Linked DNA regions of Caenorhabditis elegans. The protein of the gene in region 1 interacts with the protein of each later gene in a pairwise test. Each region holds a gene or a part of one and is shown in the gene's direction. Other genes may lie near its edges.

Region 1 (7,515 bases):
CGCCTCCCAACGAGAGAAGTTAATGCCTACGTGATGAAAAATTGTTCACAAGTCTGATTGAAGCACTATAGAAAAAATATAAATTGTTTTGTCAGTTGATAACTTTTTACCAACTCAAAAGACAACTGAAACATAAGCTGTCCAAGTACATAGAGCGATGGGATGCAATACTATACGGAAACATGATTGTGATAAATAATTTACAATCCAATGTAACATTGGAAGATCTATTCATTTTACTTCCCCCCCCCCCCCCCCCCACCATTTCGCTAAGTTTTCCAAAAGTTCACACCTGTATGACCCTCGTCTGTCTATCTCTCTTCAACGACCTTTTCCTGCATCGTTCTCGATATTGCGTAAAATCCCAACACATTGTCTTACTCTTGGGTAAAATCGAGAAAAAAAAGTATTTTTGATTGCGTAAGCATCAAAATGAAATGCAGGTGTTCACCACTAAAATGAAATGGAGGTCATGTTCGTACCCTGTGGTACAAGCCACAGAGAGTTCAATTTATATGATGAGCATTTGAAGAATTTTATTAGGTTCTAAAATACCATGAGCCTGGCAGCTGGAAAAATATTTTACTGTTTTTTTTTTTGCTTAGAAACCTAATACTATAGACTACACTGAATTGGTTGTGACAACCTACTGAAGAACAAGAGGGGTAGAACATTAAATAACGAATCTAAGAATTTACAATCGGTGTTACAATGTTAAAGTTTTCAGCAACTAACTTCAAAGAAAATTAAAATTTTAATGAATCAAGGGATATTGGTTTTTTGGTTCGATTTTGTTCTGGCTCTCCGAGAGAGAACTATATGCCTGATACTGATATATAAAAAATAAAGTTGAAAATGAAGTTTGTAAAAAATACAGCTTGAAATTCGTCAGTTTTACGTTTGTGGTTCAAGCAAGTCTGGAACCTAGAGTTTCCCTAAAATAATATTTATATTTAATTTTTCACACGACCTGAAGTTTTCTCTCAAAACAGTCTACTACATATTTCACATAGAACCCCAGACTCCATCTAACTTTTTGCGGCAAAACTACCATTCCTCTGCTCAAAACTTTTGCTCCAATTCTTTTCATCATAAAGTCTTTACTGATGACAATGAATGGTCAAGTATTCTCAGGGATGTCGTCGGGTCTTTTGAGCTCTTTTGAGTCTTCCAAAACTCCTTCAACTTGTGCCTCCAAAAAGATTTGAGGAGGCATTCTGAAGAATGGGAGCAACAACGGCAAGAAGTGTGTGGTGATTGTGCGCGGGATGAAAAGAGAACAAAGTTTTTGGGATGAGGTGGATGCTCCGTGAGCAATAAAAGGATCCGACAGGAAGGGAGTTTTCAAGAGTAATATTGACTATATAGGGCAAATATAATAACATGACCAAGGATACAGAACTGTTTTCCGAAAAAACCAGAATCCCAGAAAAGAACCACTTCTTAATTGAGAAAGTTTCAAAATTTGTTCAAGTCAAACTGCAGATAAAATGTATTGAAATTAAATAAAAATTGAAAACTCCGAGTTAAAGTTAAATTAAAAGATGAGTAGAGTGTGGTCAATCATAGTGGTTGCTTGAAAACTTCACACACTAGTAAAGTTTACAGTGGTCTAGGTTTTCAGATTTATAGTTTTCCAAAATAAGTTAAACATTTCAACTACAAGAGCACCTCAGTTAGATTTTCTGTACTCTGAACAATGTTACTTGAGCTATTAACATAAAACTACCACTCAATTGAATAATTTGGCATTCACCTGGATACTATGAAAACAAAAAATTGAATATTTGAAAAACAGTACACTAGAAAAACTCTCAAAATCAATCAGGGCGTGGCTTATTGCATCGTCTACAGTATCCCTCAGAGTCGTTTCTCTTCGCTTTCTCTCCGTCGGCTGTCAGTGGTGGTCGCTAGCTCCGCCCATGATTTGACGACGTGACTCGCCTTCGCCTTTCCGACTGCCTCTCACTCTCGCCTTAAGAAGAGAGAATTTGTCTTTTGGGAATCTGTGTGCTCAATATTCCGGAATTCTTGAATTAATGAATCTGGCGCCAAGAATGATGACTGCGGTTTCACAGATGTCGGTTCCAAGCAGTAAGTCAATTTTAAAAAGTTAATCGTCAACATCTAGAATCAGAAGATGAAAACTTCTACTTCGAACTTTCTTGGAAAAATGAGCTTTCTTAAACTTCCAGGCTTTAGCTGTAGAAAGCTTTTTTCCAATTCCCAACTTCAAAAGAAACTCAGATTTTAAAATTGGGATCTTGAGCAATTAATAAACGTAGGATGAGTTGCCCGGTGGGCATACTTCACATTCTTAGCCACATAAAATTGTTATTTTCTCATTTTAATTTCAATTTCAGAGTAGATTATTATTAATTTGAAATATTTAGGGAAGAATTTCCTAAAAATGGGTTTGGAAGTGCATAATATCGAAAAAAAAAGTGGGAGCTTTTTTGGCAAGATACATACGTATAGGATTTTGATACCTTCACAAAATTTTGAAAACCCTATGAAATACTCCTGTTTTTTTTTAAATATTTTTTTACTACCCATTGTCTTCAAATTTAACAAAATCTGAACCTTGACTTCTTCCATGGGATAAATCCATTAATATACAAACTACAGTAAATCCATGTATCTTTATATATGAGTTCTAGAAGCCTTAGTGCAGATGGGTTACTGTAGTTGTACCTAAACTAGTTTGTGTGAATGAAGAAAGAAAATGAAGAAATGTCTAATGTGAATATCATAATTTGAATGCATATCAATTTCAGTGTGAGAAAAAATTTCTAACTGAAAAATTAAGACATTATTTCAGAACCCTGATTTCAGAACTAAAAAGTCACATAAAACTTTCATAAAAATTCCTTTTTTTTTCCTAATCTCCCCGGCACGAGAACTCCAATAAGTAAAATAGGAAGTCATTAAACATAGTGACTCAATATTATGGTAGAAATGATTAGGTGTGAATTATGAGTTAGGTGATGGAATTAGTACAAGAATGGAAGAGTTTCTGTGGGAGATGCAGGTGTTTCGGGTCAATTGTGACACGTGGCACCTGTGGATTTAGCACCATTTAGCTAGAACTAGAATTGATTTGAAAGGTCATGATGTTAAATAAAATTAATTTTTTAAAGTCATACGAACAACATCAAAACTAATACTCAATATCCAAGAAGTAGAAACTCAATTTGAAATATTGTTCACTTCTTGCCTTTTTCTTTCAACAAATCCATTTCCATTCTGCCTTCATTCTCTTTTCATATTCTATTAATTAGGCAGGCAAGAGACACAGGAAGTGCTGAATAATTGGAGTCTCTCCTTCTTGGCTTTCTTGATTTCCTCATTCTATTTCACACCTAAAAATGATTATTTCTTCAGGTCGAATTCTATTGGATGTTGATTGTAGAGTCTGTGAAGATCATTCGTCGGGGAAGCATTACAGTATTTTTTCCTGCGACGGGTGTGCTGGATTCTTTAAAGTAAGTTTTAATGTTTATTGAGCTCTCATTTTTTAGATAGCTTAAAATATTCGAATTTGAGAGTAAATTTTAGTGGAAAATTTTTAAAAAAGTATTATCTAGACGCGAAAGTTTCCCATTTTTGCTCTAAAAATACGGTAACCGGTCTCGATGTGAATTTTTTTTATTAAACGGGAAAAGGTATGTGCCTTTAAACTGTACTGTAATTATGTACTCTCGTTTCTGCCGAATTTTTCTCCTGATTTATTAAAAATGTATGTGTTACATCTGAATTTTATTAAAAAACATATATTTTTATCGAAAAACCATCCAAAATTCGACAGAAACAAATTTATTGAACTACAGTACGTTTTAAAAGCGCACACCTTGGTTAGACAAGGTACTAATTTTTGCTGAAACTAATTGTTATATTATTGAATTTCCGGATAGATAAAAATGTGTTAATCTTCAACAAAAAATGTCTACAATCATTTTGCAACATTAACTTTGTTCTGCTCCGATTATAATGTATGTCTAGGATTTGAGACCTCATGAAATATTTTTTCAATGTGAATTGACTTTCAAATTTCCTTAGCATAATTATCATTGAAATTGAACAACAATTCCAAATTTCAGCGTTCAATCCGTCGTCATCGTCAATACGTGTGCAAAAACAAAGGCAGTCCATCCGAAGGACAATGCAAAGTGGACAAAACACACCGCAACCAGTGCAGGTGAGTTCTTAACGGTCACAGATTAGTGTTACGATCCCCTTTTATGCTCTTTACGTTCGAGTCCATACATTGATTGATGACACTTGGAGAATTTCAGAGCTTGCCGACTAAGAAAGTGTCTGGAAATTGGGATGAACAAAGATGCTGTCCAACATGAGAGAGGGCCTCGTAACTCAAGTTTAAGACGACAACAGATGATGTTCGATCATGGATCCTCTCCTAATTCGGTATGTGTTTGTGGGAATCTTAAATTCGGATATGTTACAAGGACAAAATATTTAATAATTTTAATTAAATTTATCGATTCTAATTTAGTTTTGAATTCATAATGACTTTCAAAATAGTTCCATTTAAATCTCATGATTACCGATCTTTCTCTTTCTCACTCACAAAAATCAGTGACTAAAGTGAAGTGAAAAAAGGATTTTGAGTAGAATTAGTACAGTAATCCGCAGGTGGATTTTGGTCGAGTTGACACCGACGCGGCGGCGACGAAAAGTAAAAAAGGTGAAAAGTTGTCGGTTGCTGTACAAATCTACAGTACCACCTGACAGGTGATTTGTCACTCTTGAACATAGTCAAACATTTTACTGGCGAAGGGAACACCTAGGATATAGAGCATGGTCAGAAATATGATTGCAATGAATTGCAATTTTCTACAACACGGTAACTTGGTTGTTGCCGGAAGTGCTGAGTATTCGTTAAGTTGGCAATTTTTTGAATTGGCAATTATCGAAGAATTAAACAAAACATTTTAATTTTTTTGTGGTACGTTTTTCTCAAAACGTCAAATTTCAAAAAAATATCCTCTAATTATCAGTTAAACACCAAATACGTGCCAAAACCGTGACAGATTCTTTAAAAAAGAGCACCTTGAAAAATCAGCCAGTTTCAAAAACTTGTGAATATATGTGTATTCTGGGGCAGATGTTTTAATGTTTCTATTTGTATTCGGATACAAATTACTCAATAATATTGTGCTCTTATGGATCTTAAGTGGGGACAACATAGTGTCAAATGATTATGTTGCATAAGTACTTGTTAGGGACAGCTGATTGGAAGAATTAGCAAATATCGTATACAAGAGGAAATTATGTCTAAAATTTCTATAATTAACTTTCAGTGAAAAAGTTAATATTATTAAGTAGATGATTTTAATTTTCCTTCATTTCAGCCGGAAATGGGATCAGAAAGTGATGCAATAATTCTTCCGACATCATCAATGAATCGTGACACAGTGGCCGGTACTGCTGCTCGAATCTTTTTTGCACTTGTTGGATTTTGTCAGAATCCTTTGAATGGAGTACCTAAAGAACGGCAAATGACAATGTTTCAACAAAATTGGGCAGCACTTCTTGTTCTCCATGCAACTGAAACACGTGCCATAACTTCTAAGCAAATAAGGACTGAGACGATATCCGGTAGCTCAGAGCAAAGAAATGCGGTATGCAGTAATATGAATCTGAATATTTTGAAAAATTAATGAATGTTCAGGTTGCTAACGCGTTTGAAATAATTGAACGTTTACAATTGGATAATAGAGAATACATGATGTTGAAACATTTCACAATGTGGAGAGATACACCAAGTGCAATTCAAATTGTCTTTCAGTTAGCATCTATTCAGAATTTCACACATAGAACCGAACCGACGAGATATATCCAGTAAGTTCCTTTTTTTATTTTTTTTTTCAATTTTCTTATTTTTGGAATAATGTGAGACTTCACTATAAAGGTAAACGCTGTTTTTCTGAGTGGGTTGCAACGATCAAAGTTAATTAAATATTGTATTTGCTAGTTTGAAGGTTGCTAATTCTTTTTTAAAATTAATTAATTAACCAATTGAAAAAGTTCATTTATAGTTTTTGTACGATTATCCTATTCAAAAGTTCATTTTTCGGCTCAAAATATAAAAAATTCCACAATTAAAAAAGCAGTGTTTTTTGTTCTCACAAAAAATGCAAATTATTTCCTATTTGCTTAAAAAGCGAAATTGATTATTGAAAACTAATGAAAACTAAACGCTCTAGTACCATCTTTCCTTCTGAAAACTTCACAGTCTGAAACCTATTTCAGATGTATAAATGCAATTGCCGCTATTCCAACAACTTCAATAATTGATGTTCTATTCCGCCCTTCAATTGGATCAGCTTCAATGCCAAGACTTATTCAAGACATGTTCAAGCCACCACAACAACCCACTCCTACGTCACTGTTTCCAATGGCAAACTTCAATTTGAACTTTCTATTAAAACAAGAAAAAACCGAAACTGAAGAGGGTGAAGATATTGAAGAAGAGGATGATGCGACGAGTAGCAATCAATTTGATGAAAATTCTTCTACTGATGATAGGTATGATGAGCATTTATTAGTACAGTGGATTAACTGAGTCTGTTGCAGATCTGTCGGAGAACTGGATCCCGTTCAACTTTTCTTGGCTCTTAATTCCTCAACTCAGCCTTCATCGGCATCATCCCCTTCCTCTTCAAGACCACGTCATTCGATTCGATCAATAACTGAATTATTATCAATTCAAGAAGAAGAGAGTGTTAATGTTGAAGAGGTTTAGATAGTAAATTCATGTTTCATATACAGTAACTCAATTATTCTAAGTATCTCTTTTCATTGTCTTTTTCACTCCGTTTCTTGCCTCGCCCGGATTTTCATTGGATTTTGATTTATACTTTCAAAATTTCATTTTTCAATTGTAAATTTTTAATTTAAATTTAGAGAAAAAAAATGGTAAGCTTTAAAACTAATTTATTATTTTCTGATTTATATTGTGAACAGATGAATAAAACGTTTACAACAATGGCAATTGGCATACAAACATCATTAAAAAAAGGTGAATCATACAGTTTTGAGAAGACTACATATGATTCGAAACATAAAAAACAATAGAAATCAATAAATGATGGGAGAGAAACCGAGAGATTTATTGGAAAATGGAACGGTTGAATGTCATATTGTGTCATCGTCGTTTTCCTTGTTAATGGCCTCGTTTCTTATCATATCCATATCATTCTGATATTCCCATTCAACTAGATGACCAAATCATTAGCTGACTGATTTCCCCCTTTTTAATGATTTGTTTATGGTTTTGTCAATAGTTTGAACGCGTTACGTTTTTGTAGATAAACCTGATTATGCTAGAATATTTTTTATTGAGATTTATTGACTAATTTAAAGTTTTAAACTAACAGAACAACAACCAATATTATAAAGAAAATGCTTTAAACTCATTTTTGAACATCCAGAACATCCGAAAAATAACCAACATGGTTAAGATTTTTCAAAGTTTTTAGTCAAAGTTTCGGT
Region 2 (2,753 bases), on another chromosome or scaffold:
GTAATTTGGGCATGAAATGCGCGCCTCTTCAGTCAGGCCTTTCATTCTTCCTTCTTTTCAACCATATTTCATTCTCGCGCTTCAGCCATTTTGCACTTATTCACAGAATTTAGACTTCACATGTGTTTCTTCCACTCTTTCTTCTATTTCTCTTGTATCAAATTTCAATGCCCAAAAGAGACAGCCTTTCTGATTCGAGCAAAAGATTGGTGGAGCATCAAGCTAAACATGGCAGTTCCATTTCCCATGTTATTTTTTATATTGAAAAAGAAGACCTCTGGGTCATTTCCTCTCGTTTCCCATTGTCTGACAGCAAATAAATGGCGCGGTAGTTGAGTTCAGTTTAGTTCATTTCCCGTGATACGTCAAATCCTTTTTTTTTACTCTTCTTTTTGCGGTGGTCTCTGTTTGGGAACGATTGCATGTGAAAATGTTCTTATTGTGCCAGTATTGTTTCCTGAAAATTGTTTCCAAAAATTAATACATAATAAATGAGAAAATACACCGAGCTATTTGACCACCTGCTCTTCTAGTGTGCATGTGCAAAACGTGCTAGTATTGCGAAATATGGAGTGTATCTAAAGCTTATCAAATGAGCATTTGATAGATAAAAATGGATTCATCCAATTTTTTATCCGTTTTTTGAAATATAATATGTGTTCAGGTTCTATTACTTGAAATACTGAAAAAAAAATTATTGCTTTTATAGTGTTGTAGATAATAATTAAAGGTGCTCCTATATTGCTAAAATGCTAATATAGTTTTAAATGCTCCTATAATTCAAAAATGTCCAAATATCGCAGTTAAACTGTTGGGAAAACTTTTGAAATGTTCAGTTTTGTAATTAAACAGTTGGTGAAATTAGTTTTCATTTATCATATGTTTTGGTAGTCGGCCGTCGGCTAAAACAACGCAGAAAATTTGGCAAGTCATCAAAACTTTGACTGGAAATGTTAAAAAATCTAAAACTGTTTCAAGTGTTCTATGATGACTAATTTGAACTATTATACATATTTTAAAATTAAATCTATATTAAAGGTTCTTCACTTATTATACATTCGTCAAAAAAATACACCTGTTCAAAAATTTAAAATTTAAAAAAATCTAAACTTTAACTTTTTGAATAGTGATTGTTTGAAAATAGCTTTCAATTATTTTATCATTGCTGACATTAACGTTTCACATTTGAGCAAGTAATACGCAGAGCTCATACGTATTTGCATGTACGCTGCTGGCTCACACCACCTTTTCTTTCTCTCTCAAATATGTATTCGCCCGTTCTCGTTTCTCTCTCACCGGCTTATGAATCTCAAATGTGGGGTGGCAGAGGGGCCCCCACTCTGTTTTGTGCTCAATTCGAATAAGTGGTGGTGCCCTTTGAGAGATGTCCAATGACATTTTGTGCTTAACATTTCATGAGAATTGTCTTTCTTCGTACATCTTTTCCAAGAACAGAAACTTTAACATGTTTCTTTTGTTTCTTTGAACTAAATCTTTTACGAATTTATTATTCCAAATTTTTTATGTACACAATTTCGTTCAGAATGTCCGAAACACTGATAATTCGCTTCAATGTTGGAGGAACTCCAATGGCAACCTTGAAGACGACTTTCCCAGTTGACTCAATTTTCCACAAATGGTTTGTGTCAAGAACAAAGGCGTCCCCATTCACAAGCGACCGAGATGGCGCGTACTTTGTCGATAGAGACCCATTTTCGTAAGTGAATCACAAAGGTATTTATTAAAATTATTCTCATGATTGTAATTTGGTAATTTGGAAATTTGGACGATGGAAATTATAATATATTGTAGTTGAAAAAAAAAAATAAATCTTTAAATACTTTCTTTCAGATTCGGCGTCGTGCTCAACTATTTTCGTCTCCGGAAAGCTGGACAGCTTTGGGAAGCCTGTCTACCAAAAGACCCAGACAGGTTGGCAATGCTGACACAGGAAGCAGATTTCTTCCTTCTGCCTCAACTACGTGATCAAGCAATCTGCATGCTTCAGCTATGTAGTAATAAAAATGATTCCAACTATATAAACGAGGTATTTATATACTTAAAAACTATGATAATTATCTGTTGAATTTCAGATGCTTGCCAAAAGCACAAGTTGCCCGCAAGGATTTGACAAAAAAGAGGAAGAGGATGAAGAAGATTTTTAAATTCTGTAATAAATCTATATTTTGTGATAAAAGCTACAGAATAAACGAATTCTTCTTTGCGGTTTTGTGGAAAATTAACTACTTACTTTCACTAATTGACGTATTCAATTCTCTACAAAACTATTATTTATCTGGTAACAAATTCCGTTTTTTTCAACAACCAATGTATGTTTGCTAACGTGGCCCCCTGCCAAAAAATTAGCAAGTCATCCAAAACAAAAAATCCCCTTAGAAACGCACGTGTCTACCACTTTTTGAAACTATTCCCGAAGATTTTGAAACTTTTTTTTAATGCTTGCTGGCGATTTTCAACGATATGTTTGGGTACAGGGAGAACGGAAGCGACAAAAAAATCGAGAAAAGTATGACGAGACTAGAAAGCGATACTTGGATCATGGTTAGTTTTTCCACGTATTTTGGATGTTTTATATTGTTACGAAATGCCGTGTTTTCTCTATTAGTATTGCACACCGTGGGCCAACTTTCACAACATACATCTCAATTGCCAGTTTTCCTTTACTAGTAAATTTGTCAACTGACGAAATTTTTGTCAATTCCTTTTTTTAAGTTTTGTAGTTAATAGATTCA
Region 3 (7,602 bases), on another chromosome or scaffold:
AGACAACTGAGATTATATCTCGATTATACAAATCACTTGCTCCGGGTTTTTTTCTCTAGATTTCCATCGGTTTTGGGACTGCACTGGAGATTTTTGGATGAACATGTGAAAATTTTTTAAATAATGCACAGGCCGAACAGTCACACTTTGAAAATAAATTGATGTGATCTATGCAGATAGTTGCAAATTTCAAAAAACTCTACCCCTGAACACTGTCATTCTGCCATGCCATAATTTAGTTCAGTCGGATGAATGACCTTTCGTTGGCCAATTGGATGCGAAACACTGGACGGCACCGAATCGGCACGGCAAGTGGTACTGACAAGCGACAACAAAGACGGATAGACCATCAGTTAAATCAAGATAAGAATTGCTTGTGAACTTTTTCAGATATCGCATTAGGTCGAGAAGTTAATCAAATCATTGCTTTTTGAAGACATCACTGAAAGTGCCAATATTTTAGTAATTGATATTTACACAAGGGACCCCACTGAACTCATCAATTTTAAAATGTGATTTCCAGTTGATGTAAGCAACCAAGAAAAAGGCATATTACTTCAGGTTTTTTGCACTTTTATTTTCCAATCTCACAAATGTGGGCGTATGATGAGCGGCACACTCACGCATCCAAAAGTTTGCCGGATTCATAAAGTAGTATAGAAGTGTCTCACGAGCGTGGAGGGTGGCGCTGGCCCGAAAAAAAAATACGCTGAGACTGTATTGGAAAAGTTTAATCACGTATTTCGCTCGACTCGTCATTTATTTGAGCCTTAGTTTGTGTCTCGCCGTTTTTGGTTTTCCGCCTCTCCCTCATTCCCCCCGGTCTATTCCGAATTTGCCGCGACCCATCACAGGTCACGAACTTTAGTGCCCGCACGCCGCGTTTTGTATCTGCCTGCGCATCTACACGCTGACATACTATTTGTTTGATCCGCGCGGAACTGCCACAAACAACAACAATCTGCGTCCGGCGAAGACGTCGTCACCATATACCCATCTATTGCATCCAACTCATCTCTTTCTTGTATTTAATTCCTTTTTCACACACCCACACACACACACACCACACCACAGGTTGCAAACCATTGTATAATTTTCTGAAAAGCACTGTAACCAATTAGAAAACGATTTTTCAAAAGTGGAGCAGTGCTACATATATGATACCAAAATAATCAAATTTTGTATTAAAACTTTTAAAAAGTCAAAAAAAATCGTTTGAAATGTTTTTTTTACTGACAGTCAAAAAGTGGAAATTTTTAGAGTTTATGCCTCGAACAAAAACTGAGATTTTTCCAATTTCCAATTCCAGTTTGACACACATAGTGCAACTCCAATTGCTCATTATTTTATTAGTTTATTCTTACAACCATCACCCTTTTCCCAGATGTATTTCGTACCATGATGTGTGTATGTGTGTGTGTTAAAAGGTCATTTCAAGCTCTTCGTGAAAGGCACCCTGCTCAGTTTGTGCCCTGTTATGATCAATATAAATGTGTACTTTATTCCAGGGCAACGAAACGAGTAAACACCGAGAAAAGGAAGCATTCTGGATATTCCAAACTGGGGCTGATGATGACAACAACAGTTCAAAAAAATTGCTGGCGGCTTGACCAGGTGAGTGACCAGTTAGATTTGTTCAGCGACAGGCGTTTTCAGTCGGTGGTTTGAGTTTGCACAACTGTTTTCTTGTCCTTTGCGTGAGCCAAGGGGTTTGTGCTGAGTTACCCTCTATCTATTTGTCAGAATACGATGTGATGATCAAAACTTTAACATCATGCATTTTCTTGAGATCCATAAACCCCCCCCCCCCCCCCTCTCGTGTGCTTCTCTGTTTCTCGGTTTGTTCTCCTATTCACCCCGTTCGTTTCAGTGACGTGTCGTCGTTTGTTTCTGCCTGCCAAATATGGCTACGGGGGGGAATATGAATTAAATTGACTTGGTATCTATCATTCCATTTTTATTTTCTGGGAGATGTCAAGAAATTTTGGAGACGAGCGGTTTTTAAAATTAATGTAGTTTTTTTTGTTGTGTTCTCACATTTTAGTTTTCTAATCGGGGAAATGTTGGAGTAAATTGTAATTGATAGGTACACATTTACTTATCAATGGTTCACAGTTTCAGTTAATTATCAGTATTCATATGCGTTTTTATCTTTTGTATAATTTTAACATTCTACATTTTGCAACCAAAAAGCTCTCTATGTTTCTCCTTTACGGGCGGAAAGTAGTGCTGGCTTGTACCATTGCCAATCAGCTCTTTGATTAAAAAACCAACATATCAGTTGACAGTACCATTTTGCCCCTGCTCGACTTCAATGGGCCGCGCCAGATGAGTCAGCGACCTTTGCACACGAGCCCGGACAGTGCTAGGCGCCGGGGCATGACCAATGCGCGAAAGTTTTGTTGCGTAACCGCATGTTTATTGTCCGCTTGCCAATCGTTTTCACTTTTAGTGATACTTGCAGCTCGCCCTCGTCGTTATATTTTTTTTCTGACCGTCGACGCTTGCTTGCCTTCTCCGAAAAGTTTTGATATAAAACTAGCAGTATTTTTCGTTCTGTGGCTCATAGTTTCTGACGTCTTCCTCTTTATGACTTTACGCGGAAGAAAAGGGCAACATCTAAAACCACCCAGTAATATAAAGTGCGCGGTTTCGAGGGAACAGTTTCGAGAGAAAGATTAAGTAGATGAAGGCAGAGAGAACCAACATTTGCAAATATAGTACTAGGTTGGAGGAGTGCCTCGGCGCTGCGATGCCTGTCTACAAGTTTGCACTTGGCTGGTCAGTGGCGTTACGTGCCACTCTCTGTACTGCGCGAGACGTGGCCAAACTGATGCGAAGCACAATATATACACGCCCCGAAGGGTCATTGTTTGCCGTTTGCCCCCCCCCCCCTTTGCGGAAAGGCCTTTCGTACTGTACTCTTGATGTGTGCTTCCTTCCGGCCGGGCACCCGCCACCGTGGTTGTCACAACTCGGATGGCTCCCACTTCCTCCACTGTCGAAACCGTTCGGACCGCCCATTTCCATTTTGGCTCACGCCGGGCTCTCGCACACATACTTTCCACACTTCTACTGTCAGTGGTGGCAACTGGAAGCACTCCATAGTTGACTAATGACCTTTCTAACCTTGTTCCCTGTACTAGAGCTATCAATTGTGTATCATTTCTCTTTTACACTATTTCATGTTTGAATTTTCGAACAGGGGGTCAATCTCTGAGGCAGGAAGGGTGGAGCACCAGTAACGCACTTTACTCGTTTTGCCTTGGCGCGTTCATTGTTCCATTTCACAATTTTTCTCCTAATTTTCTAGACCACTTCAGTTTTTAGAAGCGCTAGATGTTGTTTCATGAAGTGACCAGTCTTGCGTGTTCAGTTTTTTTCTTGGCGTAAATGCCCACTCTTCTTCTTTTCTCCTAGCTGCCCCTTCTTCACTTTCTCCAAATCAAGGTTCAGCTATAGAAAGTAAAATCGCCTTTCACTCATCCTGGACAAGATTGACTACGAGCTTTTGCAGCTTCTAAGACTTCTTCGAGAATGGGGGGGGGGGGGGGGGGGGCGCGACGTGAAAATGAAGGGCATTCATGGATCCCGTAGTAAATATGTGATATCATCTATACCAATTTTCTGGATATCGAACTAATCATTGACGATTGCAAAATTTCGAAAAATTTGTAGGAGAGAAACGATTTCATCTGACCGATCCGAGACTGGCACCCCTTTGTTCTAGGCCCTCTCCCGATTGCCATAGAGATGTCCATCCATCACCTTTCCTGACAACCCCAGATGGTGGCGTATGTGTATGTGTGTGTTTTTTGACTAATTGGAAACGAAAAGCCGACTCCAGACTTGTAATTTTGCTCCAGCAATGTTTTTTTTCCAGATCTTTTCAAATTGACGAATCTGCCTTTAAACGTTTCGTGATAGACATAGAAATTGACATCCGGTCAAATAATTAGATGAAAAAACCTTCCATATTGGGGGCAAAACGTCCAAGTGAGAGTGGATCGGCGACTGGCGCCAAATTGCTGCTGCCGACGCAGTTACCATACTTGGATGTCGGACAAGGCGGATTTCGAGAGTTGTTTTTATGTACACACGCCTTTCACCTCTTTGCCCCTTGTGATCTTTTTTGCATTCGTTAGACGCTTCTTTCATTTTCGTTCCTCATCACCATCATCATCCACTACTAATGGTTCAGGGCACGGCGTATGCGCGCGCGTGCCTCACACCATCGGATCGCGGATGTTTTGGCGGGGTTGGCTGTTCATTTAGGGGGGAGGCGGCCGATTGAAATGAAGAAGATGTTGTGGATGTAGAAGTAGGAGGAGATGGAGGAGGCAAAGGCCTTCTCCCTCGCGGTTCTTCGTGGCAGGCAGCCTGACCCCGTTCCTTACTGAACCGCCCCCCCCCCCCCCCTCTCACTTCCACCCGACGCCGCCATCGGAATTTTAGACTACCAGTAGAATATGGATAGCGGAAGGTGTGAAACTTCAGACTGCGATTCTCTAGATTCACGCTTACTGTATTTCTACCTTACTACTAGTCTTGTTACGATTACCTTCCTAATTTTAACGTTTGATATGTTTTCACCTTCGGCTTCTATACAATTCCCATCATCTTGAAATAGGTATTATCAGCATGTAAGCATGCCAAACAAATATTTTTGTTGTCCAGTGGTGCTCGACCGTTCCAGGATCGGTATTATGCAATTTTTCGCTGAACCAAGCATATACATACTGATAAGAAAAATGTTTGTTCTGTCGGCCACTGATTACTAGACACTTGAATTCTGACCGCCATAAATGGCGAATCGTACGCGAGAAGTGCTGACGCCGTCTTGCGCCGATGTCCAATAGGACCTTGCACTTTGCCGATGTTGCAACAGTAATAGTTTCCATCAAGGTTATGCGGACTAGTGCCACGCGATTGGGTCAAGCCGTTGGCTTCCGCCTTTCTTATCAAAATCTTCGCCCTCAATTACCTAATTTTGTGGTTTTTTTTTTCTCTCCCGAATCCATCAATCCGGTGTCAATCCGTGTCTTCCGCGCTAGGTCATGCGGGCGGCGACGGCGCGGCCCTTTTTTCGGTAATCGTCCTGGCATCCCACACTTTCCATTGGCCCGGATATAATAACTTTTTGGAGACCCCCTTTCTGGTGCCTATTTGCAAAACTTGCTTCATTTTTGGTCACTTTTACTCGAACTTTCTCTTCGACGATGACCCCCTCGCCCGCCACAAAAACAAAAAGTGAAACTTGGAACGGTACTCGTTATACCTCATGCCTTTACTTTCTCGCGCCACTTCCTCGCAGTATTCCATGGATGGAAAAGCGGTCAAAAAAGTATTATGATCAGGCTGGCGGAAGATAGATGGAAGGAATTGTGGGTCAACGAAGTCAAAACACCATTACTCGATAAAAGTCGCCGCATGTTGCGGAATGTGTGCCATCGAAACTGGTTACTGTATTTCTTTTCCGAGAATTTTGCTTTGCCCCGCTATCAACTTTTTGTTCTATCTTCTTTAGAAATTCCGAATTAAATAATGATAATCATATACTTCTGTATTCTTTTTAACCCTTCTTTAGTCTGTTTTTGAAATTTCGACCAACCACCTCAACAAAATTTACCAAAATCAAAAAAAAAAGTGAATGTGTCAATCTCGTTTCAACGCATGTTTCTCGCCAATTTCCGTACAGTCAGTTGTGCCTCCTGCCGGTCACTCATCCTCTATCTCTTCGCCACTCTCGTTCTCGCGCACCTCATCCAAATAACAGTATTCGGTGTCTTAGTTGGCAGCCGGTTGGTGCCTGCCACGATAGGTTATCAGTTCAAATGGCACGCGCCTCTCTCGACTGCCCCATCAGCTGATTTGTCCGCCCCAAGCAACTGATAGTGCCTGGGGCGGAGAGATAGATGAGAAAAAATCGTCTGATTCTAGGTGTCTGAACCTCGCTCGCTATCCAACAGCAGGTCCGCTCGTTTTTTTTGTCACATCTCTCTTCGTTGGTCATATCTCTTTTTCATCATCTGTCTAGTTTGAGTTCAATTTCTAATTCATCAGAGGTCATTTGGTTATTATTATTCTATTGCTCCCATCGCTATTTTTTTTTGCTCATTTGATTTAACACATCAATTTTCCTTTTCAGACAATGCTGGGTCTTGAAAAGCCTGGATCATCAGACATTTCGTCTTCTTCCACTGATACTTCCGCCATTTCTCCGATTAGCGTGAGCAGTATGCCACTATCACCGGACAAGGAAAAGAAAAAGGTAAGTACTTTGAGATAACTGTTTGGACTGTCCGAAGGGCAAACATAGTTTTGAAAGAGAACGTTTGCATAGTTGACCGGTGTTTGTTCAGACGGAAAATTTAGGGCTTCCTTCCCACACGAATTTCAAAACAACCTGACACCGGGAAACACCGCCTTAACTGGCGATTTTGGGCCGATAATAATAGTTTTTTTTCAGATCTCATTTGTCCGATACAATCCAGACATTCCACAAATTGTCACATCTTTCAAAGGATATCAAAAACTTATGTATCAAGGCTACCGATATAATATTTATCAGGTATCATAGACCATCATTCAAGTGGTGACTTTCATCACGAGTTGTTTTTTTTCAGATTGCTCCAGAACGTAACTTCAAGTCTTGGAGATGCGTTTGCGCTAAGAAAATGCATGATGGGCAGTGGTGCAAATGCCGAGCTGAAACAACCATGGATAATAAAAACGCATGCACGAAAGGATCACACAATCACCCTCCAAGACACCATGTCGCTGAGATCGAATTTATCAAGGTACGTGGCGAGATTACACAGTCACAACTGTCTAGGTTAAGAGCTAGTGCCCTTTGCAATTGGCGCAGTGCCAGATCAGAGCACCGATATCATAAGGTTGAATTTGCCAGCTGACTCTTTTTGTTCCAATTGGTTCCTAGGCTTGGCGCCTTCAAGTTCGAATTTCATAACGTCATGTGGAACCTCTAGCTTTTGAGAGTGTCTAAGGGAATTGTGTGTACGTGCAAAAAAGATAACTTTTTTTTATTTCGTAACCCTTAAAAATTCACTTCATGGCACCAGTAGATGGAAAAAAAAGATCGTCGGCCCTTTTCGAGTGTGTCAAAAATAGTTTGTGTATACAAGTTAAAAGTGCAACGAGATGCGCTACTTTCGGCGCTGGGTGGCGCCGCCGAGTGCCTAGGTCAGTTGCGATGTTGGTCAGGTCAAATAAAACAATCTGAGCGTGGCACGGTTCGAAACATCGGCCACTCATGCGCGTGCCGCAATTTTGCCCCCCTCCTCCCTCCCATGTTGATGAACCGCGAATAATTCGCAAACAGATCCGCGCATTGCCAAGGTCAAGCCATGGATGGCAGGCACGCGGCAGCGCGCGCGGGGACAGGCTGGGCCATACCACCCGACTCGTTAACCTAGATGCGCCAATTTTCCCAAATCTATTGCGTCGCTGCCATTCAAATTGACGGTACAAACTTTTTGCGAATTCTTCCGAATTGGGTCATCGGAAGGGTCAATTCTGACGCAATGTAAAGTGCATCGAATTTCAAATCCTGATTCGACCTTTGTAGATGCAGTTTAAAAA
Region 4 (4,328 bases), on another chromosome or scaffold:
AATCGATAAACTAAAAAACTCTGCATAATTAAATAGTAAATTCGTGTTCAATTTCGTTCTTTCCGAAAAACAATGTTGAATTCAATCGTCGACTGAATTTCTGATTTTTTTTTCTGAAAAGATATCACATTTTCTATTAATTCTAAGTAGTCTGAACCAGCTGGGCGACAATTCCAATTTCGCTATTTTGACAGTTAAACAATTGCGGAAAATACTGAGTTATCGAAAGTTCATCAATTCATCAATTTCCAAAAATGCCGATTGCTGGGAAATTGAAAATTCTCTAAAAATGTTCATATCCAAGAAGAAAATCTGAAAATCTGTAAATTTTTATAAGTTAATATACAAAGAAAAATTAGATAAATCTTTTGCCACAAAAACTTCACTGCTGTACGAATTAAATTTTCTTTCATTTGTAGATTTTTTTCAAAATATTTTAAATGTGCACAAGACATTTGGCCAAATTTTTAACTTGATCAATGTCGATCAATATATTTGCCGAAAATGTTCTTTTGCCGCCCATCCTGGTCTGAACTTAAAAATGTTTGCGCAAATTTGCCTCTAAGTTTTTTTTCTAGTAAATTGGAGAATAAAAATTCGCAAAAAGATCTCAATCACCTCATAGGCAACAATTGCAAAAATATCCGTTCAATAATTCTTTATGCAAATACTGAACAGTTAAGATAATTTCATCATTTCAATATCTCGACTTTGCTTCACAAAAGAACAATCAATAATTCGACGGCAAGCTGACAAATCAGCCATCTATCCATCTGTCCGTCTGTCCACACAAAAACATACAAATCGAGTATGCGGAGGAGGAGTCTATGTTCTTTCCCTCAACTCTCTGCTTCTCTCATCTTCTCTTCCCTCTCATCTCGGCCCGTACAGCTGCATCAAAGACTCTCAAACATCGGCGCGGCGCGGGCGCACGCTAAATAAAAGGGGGAAAAGGTAGTGAAACGACACGTGGAGACGCAGAACAAGCAGCGGGTACCGTAGTCGCGCAGACCTGCGAATCACCGATTTGTCCGCTGTATATAAAGGAGGGAAGAACGCGAGGTCTGCGTGTGATCGGCCAGCGCCTTTCTGCTCCTATTCTCCGTTTTTCCCCCTTCTATCTCCTCTTTATACACTATTTCCCTTAGATTCTCTCGTCTCCTCACCGAAGCGCTCAATCACTCGTCTTTACGCGCTCTCCTCCAGTCCTGGCCAGTAGATGTGTAAGTGTGTGTGTGTGCGTTGACATCGAATCGAATCGACACGACGCAGAATGGAATAAATGGCGTTATCATTAAAGAATGAAATAACCAAAATGAAAGCGAGAAATAGAAAAAAGGAAGATACCATCACGCCTCTTTTTTGTTATCAATTGTTGTACTGATGTGATGATCTATATTGTTATAGTGATCGATGAGACCCGAACGGCTGTGTACATACAGAACATATAGAACATAACACACTTGTTGCGAAACGGAGTTGCTCTAACGGGAAATGAAATATAACAAAATCTAATTATCTGAATCCCTTTGTTACTGAGCACAGAATATTTTAATAATTCCAATCAATATCAAATAGTGACCATTAATTTTAGAAAAAAAAGTTTGCGTTGATTATTCATGGGCTCTAAATGTCTTTTCCAAAGTTGTTAAGAGAGCTTCTATGAATGAAACATCATGTCCTTCTTTCATGGTTCAATAATCTCTCATTTCATCGCTTTACCTCAAGAGTATTATACAGTAGCTTCCAACTTTCAGTTAGTCTCAGGCCCATCATCGATGACGTCTTCGGAATAGTTCTATATCTCTCGAAAACCACCCGTTGTTCGTTCTTTCTCTCTCTCATTTTGTGCCTCCAAATCTCCACAACATCGTCTTCTCTCGTCAGCAACGTTTCCGTCGGAGACACTGACACTTTTGGAAGGAAACCAGAGAATACATATTTCGAGAGAGGAGAAAACAAGATGGATCAGAATAGAGGAAGCGATGTTGGCTTTGCGGTGCCGATGTTACCCGTCAATTATGCATCGGCTACTCGTTAGTTTTGACCTTATCTTTTAGGGTGGATGGAACAAAAAAGAAACTCGATTATAGATAATCGGAAAACGTACATTCATAAAATCTTAAAATGAAAGCTTATTTATTTTCAAAAACCCTTAATTTGTTTTGGGTAAAACCGTCAGTATCCGGCATCATTTCTGGATCATGAACTATCTAGAAACTTCAAAAAATATGCGACTTAAAACAATTTGTAGATGTAATATCTAAGAATTAACAGATTAGGATCAAATCGTTATTTAAATTTATTTTTCAGAAAAAATGTCAACGTTGGCATCCACTTCATCAGCCGGTGCTTCATCATCAACAGGTAGCAGCAACCAACAGCAGCAACAGGCAGCTGCTGTGATCCGAAGACGTCGTTTCAGCACTGCAAAAATTCAGCCAACACGCATAAAGAAGGTTATGCAAAGTGATGAGGATATCGGAAGAATGGTTCAGTCAGTTCCTGTCAGCATCGGAAGAGCAATGGAGCATTTTGCGGAGAAGTTTTTACAGGTGAGAAGACTCAGTCATAGTTATTTTGAACCTTGAATATATATTTGAGGCTGCCGCAGAAGCTACTCAATTCACATCTTCAAAGACGCTAAACCCTCAACACATGAAGCAGGCGGTTCTCAACACTCCACACTTTTCATTTCTAGAATCAGTCTTCAAAGATGTTGCACTTCCACAGCAAGCATCTGAATTGAATACTGCACGTACCGGCATGACATTGAGAGGACAGCAAATGCTCCAAGAGCAACAAAATTCAGATTTTGCTAGTGCAATTCTTGCCAATGCGCAGATGCAAATGATGCAAATGGATCAACAAGCATTGAAACAAGAAGATGGAACTATTTCTCCTTATTTAGTTGATCCGCAATCCCCAGCAGCACCACTTCCACTTTATCTTCAAGGGATTCCATCCAATTATCCAGTAGTTCAAGAACTCACAGCCACCGTACCACTTTCTCCTAGCACTCCGACAACTCAACTCGTAAATGGTATGCTAGGAATGCTCAAATACTCGAAAAAAGATTCTGAAGGACAACGTCTCACAGGATTAAAACGAGCATCTACTGATGGTGATGGAGAAGACAGACCAAAGCGAGGACGCCCAAAGAAGTTAAAACCTGAAAAATGTATTGATGATGATCTCTACGAGGAAGCTTCTAGGAATATAGCCAAGGTAATATTTGAAAAGTTTAGACATAGAATCAAAATGTTCTAAAGATGTAATTTGATTTACGGTTCTGTGATCCTTTTGATCTAAAGCAAAATTATCATTTTCAGGAAGACAAGGATCGCGAGTTGATGCCTCCTCCAGCACTGCCTATTGGCCGTCCGTGATCCTCACTTCTCTATGAGAAATTTTATTCTTCTCCTAATCGTGTACTTTTCAATGGTCTCGTTGCCCTCCATTTCTGATCTAAATTTCTCCTTTTCTATTGCTCCAAGTTAAGAAAAAAAAAACAAATCCTCACCGGGTCTACCCTATTCTCTATTTCTCTTGTTTTATTCATTTTTTGTCGTTCACTGGCAAATCAAAATTTAATCACTTCGATGTTCTCCCAATATGAACCATTACCGACCCACACCTTCATAAATCAGGATGCTCGTCGCTTTTCATTAAACCTTCCAAATGTTCTCTGTCATATGTTTAACTTGTTTTGCTCTTTGTCTCTCTAATTCAATTTTTCTCTTCATTTTTATATTTGTCATGCTTTAGAATTCAATTTCCGTTTTTGTAGTATTTAATATAAAAATTATTCAACCAGAAAACGTATATTTCCGACAGAAAAGACCACTAAACTCGCGCAACAACTAGAGCGATCTACATTATATTAGTATTCAGCTAAATTATGGATCTGAGCGAAGATGAAGATTTATTAAACATTGAAGAAGAAGGGGAAAATGAGAGCCAAAAAGAAGAAGTAGATTCTGTAATTGTTGGTTTGTAATATTTTGTCCAATTTAAACAAAAAAGGAAGTTCAGAAGATATTCGACGTCGTCTTTTCGATGTATTCAAGATGTTTGACGAGGATTCTGATGGTTTGATTGAAGTGAGGATTACTGTAGTTACTGTTGAAACTTGGCTTTTCACGTGGTGCTTTTCTCCAACTTTCTACTCATTTATATCATTAAGAACCGGATCAAATAGACATTCCACCTAGTGTAGGCGTCACGGGGAGCCTATTCCCGCCTTCCCACTCGCCTTCCTCGCGCCCTTCAGTAGGGTGAGTGAAGAGGCGAACACGCCTCGAGTGCATGAAGTTATTTTTCATACT

The links.
Region 2: the proteins of nhr-67 (region 1) and F49H12.3 interact in a two-hybrid assay, tested with the Caenorhabditis elegans proteins (one large-scale study listed by BioGRID).
Region 3: the proteins of nhr-67 (region 1) and peb-1 interact in a two-hybrid assay, tested with the Caenorhabditis elegans proteins (one large-scale study listed by BioGRID).
Region 4: the proteins of nhr-67 (region 1) and drap-1 interact in a two-hybrid assay, tested with the Caenorhabditis elegans proteins (one large-scale study listed by BioGRID).

The regions. Positions count from the first base shown.
Region 1 is NC_003282.8:11,167,777-11,175,291, forward strand, and holds nhr-67 (Nuclear hormone receptor family member nhr-67), read left to right. Parts: upstream 1-1,971; 5' UTR 1,972-2,057; coding exon 2,058-2,094; intron 2,095-3,384; coding exon 3,385-3,485; intron 3,486-4,100; coding exon 4,101-4,198; intron 4,199-4,295; coding exon 4,296-4,425; intron 4,426-4,633; exon of another isoform or gene 4,634-4,763; intron 4,764-5,372; coding exon 5,373-5,642; intron 5,643-5,692; coding exon 5,693-5,862; intron 5,863-6,273; coding exon 6,274-6,549; intron 6,550-6,597; coding exon 6,598-6,766; 3' UTR 6,767-7,015; downstream 7,016-7,515. UniProt on the Caenorhabditis elegans protein: Orphan nuclear receptor that binds DNA containing an extended core motif half-site sequence 5'-AAGTCA-3'.
Region 2 is NC_003284.9:2,082,832-2,085,584, forward strand, and holds F49H12.3 (Potassium channel tetramerization-type BTB domain-containing protein), read left to right. Parts: upstream 1-1,543; 5' UTR 1,544-1,544; coding exon 1,545-1,717; intron 1,718-1,851; coding exon 1,852-2,047; intron 2,048-2,093; coding exon 2,094-2,165; 3' UTR 2,166-2,226; downstream 2,227-2,753. Other genes in the region: F49H12.2 (uncharacterized protein), read left to right, coding at 2,457-2,562.
Region 3 is NC_003284.9:2,209,482-2,217,083, forward strand, and holds the start of peb-1 (FLYWCH-type zinc finger-containing protein peb-1), read left to right. Parts: upstream 1-1,569; coding exon 1,570-1,614; intron 1,615-2,760; exon of another isoform or gene 2,761-3,051; intron 3,052-3,976; exon of another isoform or gene 3,977-4,099; intron 4,100-4,154; exon of another isoform or gene 4,155-4,536; intron 4,537-4,753; exon of another isoform or gene 4,754-5,101; intron 5,102-5,324; exon of another isoform or gene 5,325-5,510; intron 5,511-5,748; exon of another isoform or gene 5,749-5,965; intron 5,966-6,148; coding exon 6,149-6,271; intron 6,272-6,338; exon of another isoform or gene 6,339-6,460; intron 6,461-6,469; coding exon 6,470-6,571; intron 6,572-6,626; coding exon 6,627-6,800; intron 6,801-7,157; exon of another isoform or gene 7,158-7,420; intron 7,421-7,602. UniProt on the Caenorhabditis elegans protein: Putative transcription factor. Binds to specific sequence motif 5'-[TC][AGT]TGCC[GA][AT]-3' in regulatory elements of target genes such as myosin myo-2. May modulate gene expression, perhaps acting in opposition to transcription factor pha-4.
Region 4 is NC_003283.11:9,730,202-9,734,529, forward strand, and holds drap-1 (Transcription factor CBF/NF-Y/archaeal histone domain-containing protein), read left to right. Parts: upstream 1-1,757; 5' UTR 1,758-1,963; coding exon 1,964-2,036; intron 2,037-2,313; coding exon 2,314-2,555; intron 2,556-2,604; coding exon 2,605-3,228; intron 3,229-3,332; coding exon 3,333-3,389; 3' UTR 3,390-3,821; downstream 3,822-4,328. Other genes in the region: cal-7 (EF-hand domain-containing protein), read left to right, coding at 3,902-3,992, 4,036-4,103.